Drosophila melanogaster: one gene and its partners. The protein of the gene in region 2 interacts with the protein of the main gene of each other region in a pairwise test. Each region holds a gene or a part of one and is shown on either strand. Other genes may lie near its edges. The genes, in order: narya, REPTOR-BP, CG14183 and gt.

What was found.
Region 1: the proteins of REPTOR-BP (region 2) and narya interact in a two-hybrid assay, tested with the Drosophila melanogaster proteins (one large-scale study listed by BioGRID).
Region 3: the proteins of REPTOR-BP (region 2) and CG14183 interact in a two-hybrid assay, tested with the Drosophila melanogaster proteins (one large-scale study listed by BioGRID).
Region 4: the proteins of REPTOR-BP (region 2) and gt interact in a two-hybrid assay, tested with the Drosophila melanogaster proteins (2 studies listed by BioGRID, with this or other methods).

The regions. Positions count from the first base shown.
Region 1 is NC_004354.4:19,473,240-19,476,568, forward strand, and holds narya (narya), read left to right. Parts: upstream 1-1,823; 5' UTR 1,824-1,927; coding exon 1,928-2,563; 3' UTR 2,564-2,816; downstream 2,817-3,329. Other genes in the region: CG32533 (uncharacterized protein), read right to left, coding at 943-1,526, 2,871-3,103, 3,172-3,329. UniProt on the Drosophila melanogaster protein: Required for the formation of DNA double-strand breaks (DSBs) together with nenya and vilya during the meiotic recombination process. Plays a role in DSBs processing into crossovers.
Region 2 is NT_033779.5:10,262,577-10,265,660, reverse strand, and holds REPTOR-BP (REPTOR-binding partner), read right to left. Parts: upstream 1,537-3,084; 5' UTR 1,454-1,536; coding exon 1,397-1,453; intron 1,113-1,396; coding exon 1,028-1,112; intron 898-1,027; coding exon 776-897; coding exon of another isoform or gene 772-775; intron 715-771; coding exon 622-714; 3' UTR 550-621; downstream 1-549. Other genes in the region: Mob3 (MOB kinase activator 3), read right to left, coding at 1-40, 100-141; Rsf1 (repressor splicing factor 1), read left to right, coding at 2,243-2,845. UniProt on the Drosophila melanogaster protein: Transcriptional regulator that acts in the TORC1 signaling pathway to regulate energy homeostasis and promote survival during nutrient deprivation.
Region 3 is NT_037436.4:20,024,131-20,029,408, reverse strand, and holds CG14183 (uncharacterized protein), read left to right. Parts: upstream 1-1,573; 5' UTR 1,574-1,647; coding exon 1,648-2,383; intron 2,384-2,437; coding exon 2,438-2,762; intron 2,763-2,819; coding exon 2,820-3,109; intron 3,110-3,171; coding exon 3,172-3,328; intron 3,329-3,376; coding exon 3,377-3,640; intron 3,641-3,711; coding exon 3,712-3,869; intron 3,870-3,953; coding exon 3,954-4,537; intron 4,538-4,598; coding exon 4,599-4,703; 3' UTR 4,704-4,722; downstream 4,723-5,278. Other genes in the region: Lamtor1 (late endosomal/lysosomal adaptor, MAPK and MTOR activator 1), read left to right, coding at 457-537, 600-763, 1,031-1,164, 1,224-1,294, 1,350-1,442; kug (kugelei), read right to left, coding at 4,924-5,060, 5,122-5,253.
Region 4 is NC_004354.4:2,426,577-2,430,917, forward strand, and holds gt (giant), read right to left. Parts: upstream 2,392-4,341; 5' UTR 2,277-2,391; coding exon 2,225-2,276; intron 2,150-2,224; coding exon 855-2,149; 3' UTR 537-854; downstream 1-536. UniProt on the Drosophila melanogaster protein: Represses the expression of both the krueppel and knirps segmentation gap genes. Binds, in vitro, to the krueppel regulatory elements CD1 and CD2. It is required in the early embryo for the development of portions of the head and abdomen.

The DNA of each region.
Region 1 (3,329 bases), on a different chromosome or scaffold from region 2:
GTAACATGTTAGCAATGGGTATCCCGCAGTCGGGACACACGCCGTCCATCCTACTTTTTTTCTTGCGAAAAAGCGGACAAGCAAGCTGAGCACAAAACTCGACAGTAGCAACAATGTAGTTGCAAAGAAGTAGACAGTCGGGCGAGGCAGAAGGAGCTGCTGCCCTGCCGAGGAAGCGCACAACTATATCTGAAAATTGGACAGCTTGACAGGCAAAGACCTTTTCATAAACAAGCGTAGCTTCTGTGTCCCGAGATTAGGACAACACAGCACGGTCGAAAGGAGCGCCGCATTAAGGTGCAGATCCAATACAAATCTCTAAATCCCTTTTTGTCATCATCCTAAGCTAAAAACTATTTTGTAAGCTACAAAATTGTGCGAGATAAAAACTAAATCCTTGTGAGGAATTCACCCAGCTCTGTTGTCAGTGGCAAATTGAAAGCTGGACACTTGACAATTTTACATATTGCAATATTCAGTTAAAATAAGCAGCGCAGCTTGAGCAACGACGACCTATTGTGTAGCTGGCTAACTAACAGGCATACGTAGTTATCAAATCCCATATTTCGTATCCGATAATTTATTCTATAAATTCATTCTTTCAACAATTTGATTAAAATGGAAATTTCCCGGCGGCTTCAATGCCAATTGAACGGGGCATAATTGATTTTAATTAAAAATTCCATTGTTTTGGCCCAAAAACGAAATATTTTTGGTGGGAAATCCGAATACAGATTTCCGCCCAACATTTTTCAGTGCGTTTTTTTTTTTTCATTGTAACATGGCTGAAGGGTCCCTCAATTAAAGAAAGCAAATGTTTTTCATAACATTTTTGTTGATTTCCAAAGGGGACAGGCCAAAAGTTAATTTGTTTAGCAATTTTTCAATATGTTAAATTAAATATGTTTTTTTTTTTATAATTAAATACGTTTATTCAGACGATTACTTGTTATTTCGACACTGCTTTTTGTGGCGCAGAATGTCGATCGTTGTCAGTCGCAACTCCCTCTTGCAGGAGTTGCAGTAATAGCCGCCGGAGGAGTGCGAACTGGAGCTACTGGCTACCTCCGTTGAGGACTCTGTGCTCGTTGTTTTCGCCGTGCGGCTTTCCTGCGCCTTGCGACGCTTGCATTTGGATCGGTGCACCAGCTGCTCCAGCACATCGAACTCCTCCAGCTCGAAATCGCAGCGCGTACACTGCCATGGCTCTGCCCGTAGAGTCGCATCCATGGCCGTCGTCCACTGCTGTTCGGCCAAGCAGCTGTACACCACGTGCTCCGATACGTTGAGGCCGCCCTTTTCCTCGTTCGGTGTCATGGGAAAGTCGACGGCAAAGGGGTTCTCCTTGAGCTCCGCGAGTCGCGCGGAAGGTGCCTGATGAGTGTAGAGCCTCTTGATGTCGGCGGGAAGCAGTCGGCGTATCGCATACGCCACATCCAGCGCCATATAGTCCACAAGATCTTGCCACAGCGCGCTGCTCCTATCGTCACTTGAATGGGAAGGTGATTCCTGTTTGCTTTTGAGGTCTGCAAATTGGACAGCATTAAGTACATACGTATTAGATAACTAAGCTCCATTTACTAAGAATGCCAAGAACAACAAGCATTTTCTATAACTGAACAGTTCAAATATCGACAATTGTATATGTAAATACCTAAAAAAAAAAACGTTTTTAAGCATATGTCGTTCCCATCATTTGATTGTTACAATAATAACTGCTTTAAAATATTATGGTGAAAAATCTTTGAACCTGAATACACCACTTGCAGGAAAGGTGTGGTGAACAGATTGCAAGGCGAGAGTGTTCTCACCCGGCAGAGTGGCCAGACCGCTGAGGTAAGATCCGTTAGCCCCATTCGGATATCTAAATCACAATTGTTTAAGAAGAAAACTTGCAAGGCGAGGAAAAAAACATATATTGGTCACTATGTTTCGAGTGCATTGCAACAAGTGTTTCCGTCATCGCAAAACTGATCCAGCCGTGCCCTTCCACTTGACCCAGTGCCGGCACGTGATCTGCGGCCCCTGTTTGGGCCAATCCTCGCTAGAAAAGAACTGCCCGCTATGCGGCCAGGTGCTCAAAGCGATCCAGATCAACCGGGATATGCCAACTAGCGTGGCCAACTACTTCGCGGATCCCCTGCGATTCCAGCAGATCTACCGCAAGATCTCCAAGTTCCAAGCGGACCAGCGAGCATCGGACAACCTGGGTTTCTACCGTCAGTTGCAGCAGCTGGAGCAAAACAAGCGCCAGCTGGAGGGCTTTTGCAAGATGGAGGCGCAGCTGAACCAGAAGGTCGTGGAGGAAAAGAAGCGAATCGCTGAATTGCGCACCTACATCGCTTACCACGAGAATGCGCAGAGGATGACGAGGCGCCGGCACAGTGCAGGTGAGAGATTCCATACGCCGGAGTTCAAGGAGGCCTGGAACACCTCTATCAGCACTTCGGACAAATCGCCGTCGGATATGCCTTCTGATAGCTCCCGCCGGTCCGCGGACTTGGATACCCAGTCAACGCGGAGAAGATCTTTTGGCAGCGACACTAAAGGCTTTCGTCTTTAGTCACTCCAATTACTTGTATAATTTTTTATAGGAATTCTAAGACTATAACCACTTCTAACGATTCAATTAGGTTTTGACCTTCCAGAAGATTCCCAATATAAAGAACCAGATAGATTATTAAGTTGCGCTTAAGGTACTAATTATCATCCGTATTCTATTACTATTACTATTCAAATCGAGACGTTCCACTACTCATGTGCGGGATATGATAACCATAAACGGAAATATAACAATCTACTTTAGCTTACAAAACTCAAAAATCCCCCTAGTAGTTTTAATAATTCCAACCAATCTGGGGAGCACTCACCATCCAGCTTGTCGTAAAGCAGTCTGCTCCAACGTCGGCGCAACTCGATGGCCCGTCTTAAAAGCTCCATACCGCTGCCGGGCATGGGCAGATCCAGTCCCAGCCAGCCGTCGCAGGCGATCTGTGTGATGCCCGCGTTCGTGTCAATGGCGAAGCTGAAGAGCAATAGCGTCTGGGCAGCCGGCAGGCGGATGCAGTTAATCAGATAGGGCTTGGCGGTCTCCAGCAGCGACCTGTTGTAGTACGTAGTTTTTTGGGGATTAGTATGGCGCTGCAATTTCGTACAGACGCACGCACTCACTGGTAACAGAGCAACTGGTGGCGCTTGCTGAGCGGAAGCTTGGGCGTGTAGAAGTCTGGCTTGGGCAGCAGATCGCTTTCGGTCAGCTTAAGCAGCTCGAAGTGCTTGGCGAATTGCGAGTTTGGGTGCTGCAGCACGAAGGGCTTGAGCCGCGTGTG
Region 2 (3,084 bases):
TAATGGTTCCGGAGGCAAATGGCTTTTTTGGCCTAAAGGTCTGAAAATTAGTTTAAAAATACATCAACTGCATATGATTTTGTTATTGACCAAACACACCTTGCCCTTTTGGAAGAATTCTAAAAATCCATTTAAAGCCATAATATCTTGTTGGAGATTCTGTTGGTTGTGAGAATATTTTGGCACATATGTAAGCGCTGCTTACAGCACAAAAGTTTGTCAATTGAATAACTATTAATGGCTGTTTATAAATAATGTTTACATTTATTCAGTTCCTTAGACTATTCTGTATTTTTATGCCGATGGAGAGATGGGAGAAACCATTGATAGGCTTTTCACGACTAAGTTATCGAACCCTTAGAATAATCGTTCCATATATCACTGTTCCAGTGTACCAATTGGTTTAACACCCTTAAATAACAAATATTTAATTAGTTCTTATTTATCATAAAAATACTTTAATTTGGCTTTAATCACTATACAAATGAAACAATAAAAAGCTGTAAAATGCAATATAGAAAATAACAAAAATTTCTGCAGTATTTTCGTAATAATATAAATAGTAACCGTCGTACATTTATTATAAAAGTAATATTCTTAAGCTAAAAATAAGAATGTAGGTTATTCTTGTTTGAGGATTCCGAGTTCCTGAAGTAACTGGTCATTGTTGGTTGGAGTGTTGCTTTCGCTCAACTGGTTATTCCATTGAATTAACTGCAATAAAGATGAGAATAAATAAATTGGTTGGACGTGGCATGATAAGTTATATACCGACGCGCTCCAGTTCCGTACGCAAAGCAACTACAGCCTTCTCCCGATCCGCCACCAGTTCCTCCAGGTACTGATACCGCAGCTTCTTGCGCGCCCGGCATTCCCTGGCACTTTGTCTGCTGCGTTCTGCAAGGGAAAATACACGTTATATAAAATTCCATAGGAAATAACATGTATTAGTGTTTGGAAACTTTGTTACTATTAAAAATAATACCGTTGTTTAAGTATTATAAGTGGAAATTAATGTTGTTCTTACCTAGTTTGGCTTTCATGTCCAATTTTTCAGTAGACGTCTTTCTTCCTGGTTTTCGTCCCCTTTTTCCACATTCCTTGCGCGTCTGCTTATAAATATAATATAAAATGTAAATATTTGACGATATCCCAAAAACAATTTGCTTTCAATATTCTTATTCGCAAAAATTTAGTTCCGATAAGTCAAACTTAAAATCTTTTTTGAAAATAGGCGCTTTTGCATGATAAAAATCACATATGTATATACACGCATACACAGAAGATAGCTTATATATGTGTATATACATACACGCAAGGCCTTACTGCGCATTAGAACAATTCAGATCATGTTCAAACAAAAAGACCACATCTTTTATATTTAATAATATATTACCACTTGTGTTTCCTCCGTTATTGACATTTTGTTGCTCTGTATCTCCATATCAGCCATTATAACTCTCAAATAATACAACAACTTTGCAACTCTTTGTTATTATGCGTCTTTCGTAAATACTCAAGGTAACAATAAACAAAACCACTACACACAAAGGTGCCAATCGAAATATATCTTAACAGAAACGATGGAATGGAACACATTAAGGGAACTATTTGTATTTTATATTTAAGAACAAAAATATAAATAAAGTTTAAATCGTAACAAATTTTCTTTTAATGACTTAAAATGATAATAGTCATTATATTTAAATAGTTAAATTATGATAATAGTTAAATTATAAATTAATTAAATAATAATTAATAAATGTTCAATATAATTATTCATTATTTGGGGTTTGAAGAAAATATAAAAGTACACGGCTATATATTAACAAACATTTTATATATTGTTTTACTTTATTTACTTTACTAAAGATCATACAAATATTTATAAAATTATATAAATTAAATTGACGTATTATTCAGATTACCATGATACATTTCCCAGCACAAAGTATAAAAATAATTAAAAATACAAGTCACTAGAGCAGCGGGAAGTCCCTTTTTACGGGGCCGTTAAACTATAAATACATCCCAACACACGTCCATTCTCAGTGTTCCAAATGCGAGGATATTTTTGAAAATTAGCATTTTTGCAACGAGTTTAACCACCCTGGTCGAAAAGTTGATATAGATACAAACGCTAAATTGTCCGGTGGTGATAACTTATTGATTATTTATTTTTCAAGGCAGCTATCCGATTTGCAGGATAACTCCGAAAACGAATCAGAAACAGTGAATCCAGATGTCCAGCATGGGTGATCAGCGCGGGACACGGGTGTATGTCGGCAATCTGACCGACAAAGTGAAAAAGGATGATCTGGAGGGGGAGTTCACAAAGTATGGCAAGCTGAATTCGGTGTGGATAGCCTTCAATCCGCCGGGATTTGCGTTCGTCGAGTTCGAGCACCGCGACGACGCCGAAAAGGCGTGCGACATACTGAACGGATCCGAGCTGCTCGGCTCCCAGCTGCGCGTGGAGATCTCAAAAGGGCGGCCACGCCAGGGTAGGCGTGGCGGACCCATGGACAGGGGCGGACGACGCGGCGACTTTGGCCGGCACAGCATCACAAGCGGTGGTAGCGGCGGAGGCGGTTTCCGGCAGCGCGGATCCAGCGGATCCTCAAGCCGGCACACGGAGCGGGGCTATAGCTCCGGCCGATCAGGTGCAAGCAGCTATAATGGCAGAGAGGGCGGCGGCAGCGGCTTCAATCGCCGCGAGGTTTACGGCGGTGGACGCGACAGCAGCCGCTACAGCAGCGGAAGTAGCGCCAGCTACGGACGCACTGGTGGTCAGTCGGCCGGACGCTTCAGGTCCCGCTCGCCGGTGGGAAACCATCGATTCTAATGACAACACCACTCATAGTTGCTTAAGGATTGCCTATGAGTAAAGATTAATAAATAATAACTTAAGCGCGACCGTAAAACGCAGACTCAAACATTTAAAATCGTAGCATTCGATCGTTTTCGATCGTCCAACAGATTCCCTCATTCCCCCACATCAACAACAACAACAGAATGATAAAAAAAAAAGAAAAAACAAAAAACTGATAGTCGTCGTCTCTTCATTATTTATTTAACGAATAC
Region 3 (5,278 bases), on a different chromosome or scaffold from region 2:
AAGAATGTGCTCGTTCTCGTGGGCTGGCTGTTGGGGAAAATGTCATATAGGTTGATAGAAAAAACAGCAATATAAATATTTCAAATTAATAATTGATGTCTACCAAAAGCAGTTAAATTTTTTAATATCTTCACAATTATTGCCGATTTCCAATAAAAATATAACAAATTAATAAAGTATAAATTTAAATCAACTTAATTCCCAATAAAAAGTATTTCATAATAAATAAAACAAGGATAACGCTAGGAACAGTAAGTAATAAACTAGTATTCCCTTATGAAAACCCATGAATTTAATGTCCGATTAAAATTGTAATATTTAGCGCCTAATCGATAACAAGTATGTATACAGCTGTTTTAAACTGTCTGGTAGCACTGATCTTATCGAATATGTACAATTCCATCCCTAGAAAAACTTGCATAAAAAATAAAGAACAATTGAACAATTGCATTTAGAATGGAGTATGTGCACTCTGTTTGGAGCTACCTAGCCTCGATCTGCAACTGCTGGCAATGCACCGAAGATCCAGGTGCGCAGGTAATCCGCACATTCCCCTTTCCCCGTCAACAGACCGAATACACAATGCGTTCCATCTGCAGCCCAACGAGCCGAACGAGCGGACACACCTTCTCGTGGACCCGGTGAACCATAGTCCTGCCCTTCGACGGAGCAACTCCGATGGCCTCAGCACCGACTACGCCCACTCCCTTCCCAAGAAGGACGATCAGAACGCCCTCTCCAGACTGGTGCAGAATACTGCGATGTACGTAGTTGATAGTGTATAGGGTCCACATTTGGCACTATCATATACAATTCCATTGATTGGAATGCTAGCATTTTACAGCGATTGCTATACTATACTATACTATAGTAGTATACCTACGTAGTTATAGCGATGGCAGGATCTAGTATGTAGTATGGTTATACCCAAGCATTTATCGGGATGTTCAATGCAACAAAGCAACACAGCCCTAATTATCGCTTATCTATATTATATTTGTATTCGCTTATACGCTACTTTGCTCTCCAGAAACATGATAAACGTTGGAGCCATGGACTGTCACAGCCTGGAGCACCAGGAGTACGCCGATAGAATAAGATTGTACTCGCAGCGGTTGCATCAACAGTGGAACAACGGCCAGCACGCCAGTATCGCACCAAAAGGTTTGCAATATAGCTAGATTGAAAGGGTGAATGATGACTAACAATTAAATGAACAACAGGTCTCCTTAAAGATGTACCAAGCCATCAGTTCTATCTGTCTAAGCCAACCTATCCAGATGACACTGCTCAAGTGAGTTTTACTTTTCGCAAATTGCTTGTTGCTTACCAATTTCGTATGTTTTTAGATGAAGCTCTTCACCGAGAAGGCACACATCAGTGTCTCGCACATACAGATCGACCACAAAGAGGCCGTGGTTGTTCCCTTCCGGATTCCCTGATTATCGTATCTTAAGTGAAATAAAGTGATAAATTTATATAAAATCAAAATCTATATTGGTACTAAGTAGCCCTTGAATAACCAGGTAATCGACTTATTTTCATTAAGTGTACAGAAGCAAATAAATACATACTATATTCTTAACACGGCAAGACATTTTTTTTATTTAGGAAGGCACACACACACACATATAGCTAAAATCCAAAATGTCGTTCGATCTTAACCATAAATTTTGGGTCTACACGCGCAAGGAAATTGGTAAATTAATCAAGAAGCAGAACCGCCTGAAGAAGATTGAGCCGCCAGAGGAAAAGGCAGTATCGTATAAAATTTACGCAGAGCTCTATGTTTTGTATGTGGAGCTGGTCAATAAGTTAAGTTTCATATACCACAATACTTTCCAAGTGCAAAAGCGGGCATTGGTACGTGTTTTGGTGGAGAATGCCACTCAGCAGCTAATGCAACTCAAGGAGGAGTTAAAAGACTTGGAAATGAGCGAATACATTTACATAGATAAGGCGCTGATCGCTAGGAAGCTAACACCACGGGACCTGGTCGTATGGAGGTCACCACAATTCCTTTACCGTCGCCCGTTGGACATTCAAAATATCATTGCCGACAACCGATTGTACATGAACGATGAGGAAAAGGAAGAAAAGGCAGCCCAGGATTGGGTTCCGATCAGTGAGGCGGTCAAGCTTATCCAAGCTCACGAGAGGGCGCGCCGAGCTCGGGTTTACAAGTCCAACATAAAGTACGACAAGAAAAAGTTCCTCAAGGTCCATCAAAGAAAGAAAATAAATTACAAATTCACCTTTAAGCCTGATCAGGCAATGAGTATTCCCGTGAAGAGAACCATTTTTTCAGCTGACTTCTTGAAGGCGGACGAGTCCTGCGAAAATCTTATCAAAAAGGATGATGTAGCGGATACCGCAATAGATGGCAAGTAGCTAGATCGTTTCAAAACAATTAATTTGGTTTTTAATTATTTTCTAGATGAGGAAGCCTTAAGTGCAATACAGAACAATGCTGCTTGTAAAATCCAAAGTTGTTGGCGTGGTTACAAGACGCGGAAAATAGTTAAGATTAGGAAGCGGTTCAAGGAGGAATTGTATGGTATGAAGAAAATTAGGAAACTGAAGCGACCCAATCAGACGGCAAATTCTATTATGGAAATGTACAAGAACGAGATGCTCAAGAAGAAGCTGGATGAGGACTTCATCAACTTGATCAACGATGAGCGCACCCGATTGCTGCAATTCCGAAGTCCATGGATGATGGAAGATATATCCGATCATATCCGGGCATGGTTCAAGGAATTGTGAGTTGTTTTTCATTGAGGCAAAAAAGGCAAAAACGTATAACTCGTACTTAACAGCTACGACGCGACTGGGAATTTTCATCCTTATCCCGATCCTGTAAAACAAGGAACGGTACTGGTTGTCATTGATGAAACAATGACGCCAATGGAATTTCAGGAAAGCCTTGGTAAAAAGCCGCTGTCAAAAGCCGAGTTGAAGAAACTTCGCGATAAGGAGAAGAAAGAGAAAAGGAAAAAGAAGGAAAAGCTAAAACAACTGAAAATGAAGGAAGCTAAACGTCGGAAGAAATTGAGAGACGCTGGAGTCATCGATATTGGCTACGAGCTAACTGCAAGCAAGGCAATTGGTAGATAGTTTGACTTAATGGAGAATGTTTCCATTGTCTCCAAATACTCTCTTCAATTTTAGAAAACATTGAAGAAACAATGAAGAAGTACTCCAAGGACTGGAGAAATGTCGATGAATATCTAAACAAGAATCATGATCCCATCAAGGAATGGGTTACTGAGGAGCAACTGGCAAAGATTCATCAGGAAGTGAGGGGCTTGGTCGACGAATACATGAGGTAAATTTATTTATATTTACAATGAAAATATAACTTTTCAACTTCCAGGGTTGAGTATGAGTTGCTGCGGGAGGCCTTGGCGAAGGATAACGATGAGAAGTACAAGGCTCTCAAGGTGAAGTATCCTAAGAAGAAGAAGGAGAAGAGGAAGAAGAAGCCCAAGGACATGACAGGCGATCGGACACTGGAATCCCTGTACAATGAGCTCAAAGATGCCGGCATAATAGAGGAAATTGGTCATAGGGACTTTGATGAGTTCATAACGGACTTCAACTTTGTGGCAGACGACACTCGAGATGAAGATGGCTTAACGTATGTTGTAGTTATTTGTTGAAAGAGCTACTAAGCCTAACAAAAAAAATTAATATCGATTTAAAATTCAGCACATTGGGCCCAGCAAAGGGTGACATTAAAATGGTTATCCAAGAGTCGATGCTGGGAATGGGCGAATTCGATGTTCCGAAGCCGAAGTCTCTTTTGCTAATTGGACCTCTGAATAGCGGAAAACGATTGCTGTGTGAAATCATTGCATCCGAACTAGGTATAGTAACATTTTGTTGGGAATTGTTCTTTTTTTTTTTTTTTTTTTTTTTGTCGGAGCACTTAAACCTTCTGTCTACTCCAGATGCAGTTTTTATGAACCTAAGTCCCGAGAATACCTACAAATATGCCAAAGACTTGAAGTACTTCCTGCATGTTATTCTAAAAGTGGCTAAGGCTTTTCAGCCCACCATAATGTACATCGAGGAAGCGCATAGACTATTTTGGAAAAAGGTTCCGCCTGAGGCAGTGGAGATTAACCCCAGACTGCTGGGCACCTCGTTAGCTAGCAAGATCTTGAAACCACTGAAGAAAAATGACAAAATTGTACTAGTCGGCACGAGTAACATGCCCTGGGCGGCCAATGGAGGCATCAAGCGAGCGTTCCAAAAAGTACTGCTTATTCCGAAGTGCGATTACGGCACTAGCTTCCTGCTGTGGCTGGAACTGATGACCGAGAACGCGCCAGATGACATGAAGGAGTACGCCTACTCGGCACTGGCACGCGTCCTTCAGGCGTACAACTCCGGCGACATTGATGATAACGTTAAGGAGACCTTGAACATCGACCGTAAGATGCGACTCAAGAATGAGGCATTGGATCCGAACGAGTTCCTTGAATATTTCCTGAGCAAGAATGAGCCTCCCATTTTCCCTCCAGATGAGAAGGTATACTTGCTTACTTAATACATGTTTAGCAACTAAGTCATTTAACTGAAATTCTTTTTAGATAATGGATAAGTTCAATAAATGGTTCGGCAGCTCAAACAAGCTGGAAAAGCTGAGAAAATCGTATATGGCTCAAAAGTTGGCGAAGGCAAGCAAAAAGAAATAAATAAATCAGTTTAAAACTTATTTAAATATGCATTTTCATATATAACTATTTGTAAGTGTAAACTTACCTTGGCCTTAAACTAATGATACTATGGAAGTGCAGATGTTCTTTGTGTCTTTTTTATTGAAAATATATAACCAAAGTTTTCCTATGGAAAATAGTATCTAACGAAATGAAATAATTTGTGTAAAATGTAGTTCTTATATATTAAGCATGTCATTTAATTGTTTGTTTGTTGTTGTGGTAAAAACTCCTCCAACTCAGAATCTTCAATTTCACACAGTCGAACCGAAATGTTGCTGTTGGATCCAATTTCTCCGACAGTGCATGGAAATAGGTATGCCTCCTCTGAATTTTCTGCATAATTAGAGAGAATCGTGATATTTGTAAGATATGTAAAGGCATTTCCCTTGCTTACCACTTATCGTCCTCCTGGTTTTTATTTCCATCCTAGAAATCGGCCCCTCGGTCATAGAGCTTTCCCCATCGGTCTCACTTGGAAAATGCATCGTCGGTAAATACGAATCAGGATGTCTTAAATATACTTTGCCTGTGGAATAGATCAGATATGGACA
Region 4 (4,341 bases), on a different chromosome or scaffold from region 2:
TTCGGTTTAAATTACCAGGCGAACAGGAATTCCAGGAGGCGACCAACGATTAGTTGGTTTTCAGTAGACACCCGCTACTGAGTATGTTGGCCTGGTACCAAAAATCCAAAATTTGCCACTAAAATGCTAATTTTGTAAGCAAAATTAACAGATTTTCGGCTTAAATTACCAGGCGAACAGGAATTCCAGGAGGCGACCAACGATTAGTTGGTTTTCAGTAGACACCCGCTACTGAGTATGTTGGCCTGGTACCAAAAATCCAAAATTTGCCACTAAAATGCTAATTTTGTAAGCAAAATTAACAGATTTTCGGCTTAAATTACCAGGCGAACAGGAATTCCAGGAGGCGACCAACGATTAGTTGGTTTTCAGTAGACACCCGCTACTGAGTATGTTGGCCTGGTACCAAAAATCCCAAAATTTGCCACAAAAATGCTAATTTTGTAAGCAAAATTAACAGATTTTCGGTTTAAATTACCAGGCGAACAGGAGTTCCAGGAGGCGACCAACGAGAACAGAAATTCCAGGAGATAATTATTTTCGATAATTTATTGAAATTCATTCCTTAGGGCTATGAAAAAAATTCACTTATAAGTTAAACATTAATAGCTAGCTGGGACTTCTACAACTATAGATGATTCCATTGATAGTTAACTGGTGGGATTGCGAGATGCACTACAGCTAATACATTTTCCAAATATAACGTATACTCCAAGGACTTAAAGTACTTAAATGCGAGCGTGTAAAAAAAAAAGAAAGTTGAGCCCCCTAAACTATTCACAGATAAGCTGACCCAAAAACTGGACATACGATTCGGATCCTCGCGTTCAACGCATCAAGAGAGGAGTGGACCTTTAGGCGGTGGTTACTTTGGCGGAGGTGAAGGCGGCCAGCTGGACCTTGAGGGCGTCGATCTGGCACAAGAGCTCGATGTTCTGGCGTTCCAGATAGGCGGCCCTGATGGCGATCTCATCCTCCTTGATGCGGCGGCGATCGCGGGACTTCTTGGCGGCAGCATTGTTCTTGCGACGCCTCTCGTAGTATGCGGCATCCTTAACCTGGCTGCCCGAGCTGATGCCCGAGTTTGCTGCAGTAGCGTTAGCCAAGTTGCTGGAGCTGCTGGTGGCGGACTTGCTCTCGAAGTTGCCCGCCTGGGAGTCACAGTCGCTTGACTCCTCCGCAGCAGCGCGATCCTCGCTTTCGCTGTTGTTGTTTGAGGAGCTGCCTTCGTTGACGGATCCACTTCTTGAGTTGGTCCTTCGCATTTTTGGGTTGGTTACGGTGCGCGATCCTCCGTTGGAGCTGCGGATTTGCTCAAGCACTCGCTTCCGGTATTCCGTGTAGCGCTCCACTCGCGGATTGTCCAAAAGGACATCAGTGGCTGCGAAATTGGCAGCTATGACCAAGGGATCCCGGGGAAAGGCCTTGAAGGGACGGGTGTTCTTTCCCGCCTCGCCGCTGCTGGAGGTGGTTGGCGTGGTGGCCTCAACAGCCGGTGACAGGGGATTCTCCAGAACGTCTATCTGCATGGTGCTGGCGTTGCTGGCGGGTCTTGGTGAGTTGGTCGAAGAAGCGGCAGCAGCAGCGGCGGCCGCAGCAGAGGCGGCAGCAAAGGTTTGCAGAAGGTTAGCGGTTGGTGTAACCTTGGGCGGAGCAGCAGTGGGCGTGGCTTGCTCCTGCTTGATGTTGCTGTAGTAAAAAGCGGGATACAGGGAGGCTAATTGTTGCTGCTGCTGCTGTTGCTGTTGTTGCTGCTGATGTTGCTGCTGTTGCATTTGGGCGGCATACAGAAGATTGCTGGTGGGCGAAGCCGAGGGGGAACCACTGCCGTAGCTATAGCTTGTTTGATACGGCGAGGGAGTCTTCCTGGGTGTCTCTACGCTGTCACATCGACGGGAAAGATCCAGGACCTCTGCAGAGGAGGTATGCTGCTGCTGCAGCTGCTGATGTTGCTGCTGCTGCTGTTGCTGTTGTTGCTGCTGACTGAGGGCAGCTCCCAGCAACTGCTGCTGGTAGGCGTAGGCCGTGTACAGATCCATTTTGGGTAGGCCCAAGGATCCCTGAACCGGCAATTGGCTGTGCGGCAAGTGGTGCAGTGGTTGCTGCTGGTGGTGCTGGTACTGGTGGTGGTGCATCAGGGGCTTGCGATCTGCAAAGATTGAGAGAGAGAGGGGATTTGTTAGTTTACGGATCGAGGAGAAACCAAGGGGCGTGGCCAACTTACCAGTCTTGAGATCGAAGAACTGCCCGGCCATGAGTTTCTCGTGCATTAGCATGGTGTTCGGTGTATGGTCTCTGGGTTTAATCCAACTGATTGACGCTATATAGACTGGTGATCTAGCTCTGATGTTGCTATATCTTCACGCTGACGATGTCGAACGCAAACTGATTTCCTCTCGTCGGAACCCCCTGCATTTATACCGAAAATCCGGAGGCTGCGCCGACGCCTCATTCACATCGAAATGGCGGACACGAGCGGCCAGCCGAAGCGGTACGAAGCAGGTAGGCGGTACAAAGGCCAAAGGGCAAAGGGGTGATTCTGGCTTTGCTTCTGACTCTGTCCCGCTCTGGCCTGTTGCCCTCTCTGTCTCACCGCTTTCGAAAGGGTTTTACAAGGGTGCGGCTGCCCTTTCCCTCATTTGGTTTTCGCAGTTTTCGCAAAAATCATAGTTCTTTGTGCTATTGTTAGTTCGCCATTTAACGTAATTTTAAAAAGAAAGTACAAAGAGTTTTCGAACTTTACGTTTCATCAGTTTCCGCGAAAGGATATGGTTTTTTCTTGGTTTTAATATTCAATGGGAAAAAATAGGAAAATTCGTACCACCTCTGCAGTGCTTTACATTTCGTTTTCATGGAATTGGTTAAAAATATTCATAATCAATATAGAGTTATAAACTTCGGCTCTATTTTCATAGGCGTTCATTGCGATGTTATAAGTCCAAGTTTGAGGAAACCCCAGATTTTTGTATATACCAGCATTGTGCATTTGATTTTTTATTACAATTGTACCTAACTTACTTGCTTTGACATCCAACTGATAAAACCCTTACCCAAAAACCAATCTTAAAAATCTTAAGTTATTAAACCTTTAGATTTAAGTAACTGCTGTATATATTGCTTTCAAATATAAAGAATAAACCGCAATTAAACATCGTAGGCTATTCTCTTCAGCACTGAAATAAACCATACTTCTGAATCTTCTAGAACATTTCGCATATCAAAGACCCCCCGACCGTAGACTATTATAATTACACTCAAATCATACTTTTCTGGCCAGAAAGAGAGGCATCTGGCAGAAGAAAAGAGATGGAATCTAGTTTGTTGATAATAGATGCACAACATCCAAGGGTTGTGATGGCTAAATCCGTTTGTTTTGCGCTTTTGTTTCGAAATCCTTTTGCTGACCAGCCCATCTAGAATCTGTGTATCCATGCGATGGCGAATTCGTTGGATTGTGCGTGACAAATTATGGAAATTAGGACGAGTTCTGGCGTTCTTGCAATTTTCAGCCCTTTTCGGCTGGCGTAATTCGCATCCTTTTCTTATTTCGGCAATGAAAACTCGGCTTCCCGGAATTTTGGCAAGGACACTCGCCAGTCTGCCCATTTGATTCATGACGCCGCCAGCCCGAGGATCGAGAATCGAGAGTCCAGGATCATTGCGACAAGTGGCCGTCCGTGTTGACTGCTCGTGTTTGCCCTCCTCCTTAAACATCCTTGATTCTACGTCCTTTATCCCTTTGGCTTCCGCTGCGGCGTGGGATGTGGGATCCTCGACAAGTTGTTTCACTTTGTTAACTGTTTGTCCTAACGGTCGCCTCGACAGCCAACGGAAGTGGGTAGCGGTACAAAGTTGGCTATCATCCATGGGAAATGTTATGCTAGATACTTACTGCAGCTAATTCGAGGACATAACGTAGTTTAGATTTGTTACGCTGAAATGTTATCAAATCCTATCAACAATACCTACATTATATACTATCTTTCATTCATTCTCTTTTTACAACTGCCCATTCAGGGGGATTGGGTGAATTGCAAATAAAAAGAGGGATCGATCGATGGTAATCAGTAAAAAACCGCGAACTTATCCGCTAATCCGTGCGCTAATCCAACCGTAAAAATGGTGGATTAAACTAAAACTCGGACCGTCACGTCGCCGTCATTGAGTCGATCCCTTACCTGCGGTTACCGGGCCCGAACCCGAGCCCTTCCAGATCCTGGACATACGTATAGCCCAGCCCAATCGATCCCGAGCAGATGCCATAAAAAGTCGCGGCCGAAGTCGAAGCCAAAGAGTTGCCAAGTTCGGTGTAAAAACCAGATTCAGCGAAAAAAAAACGTA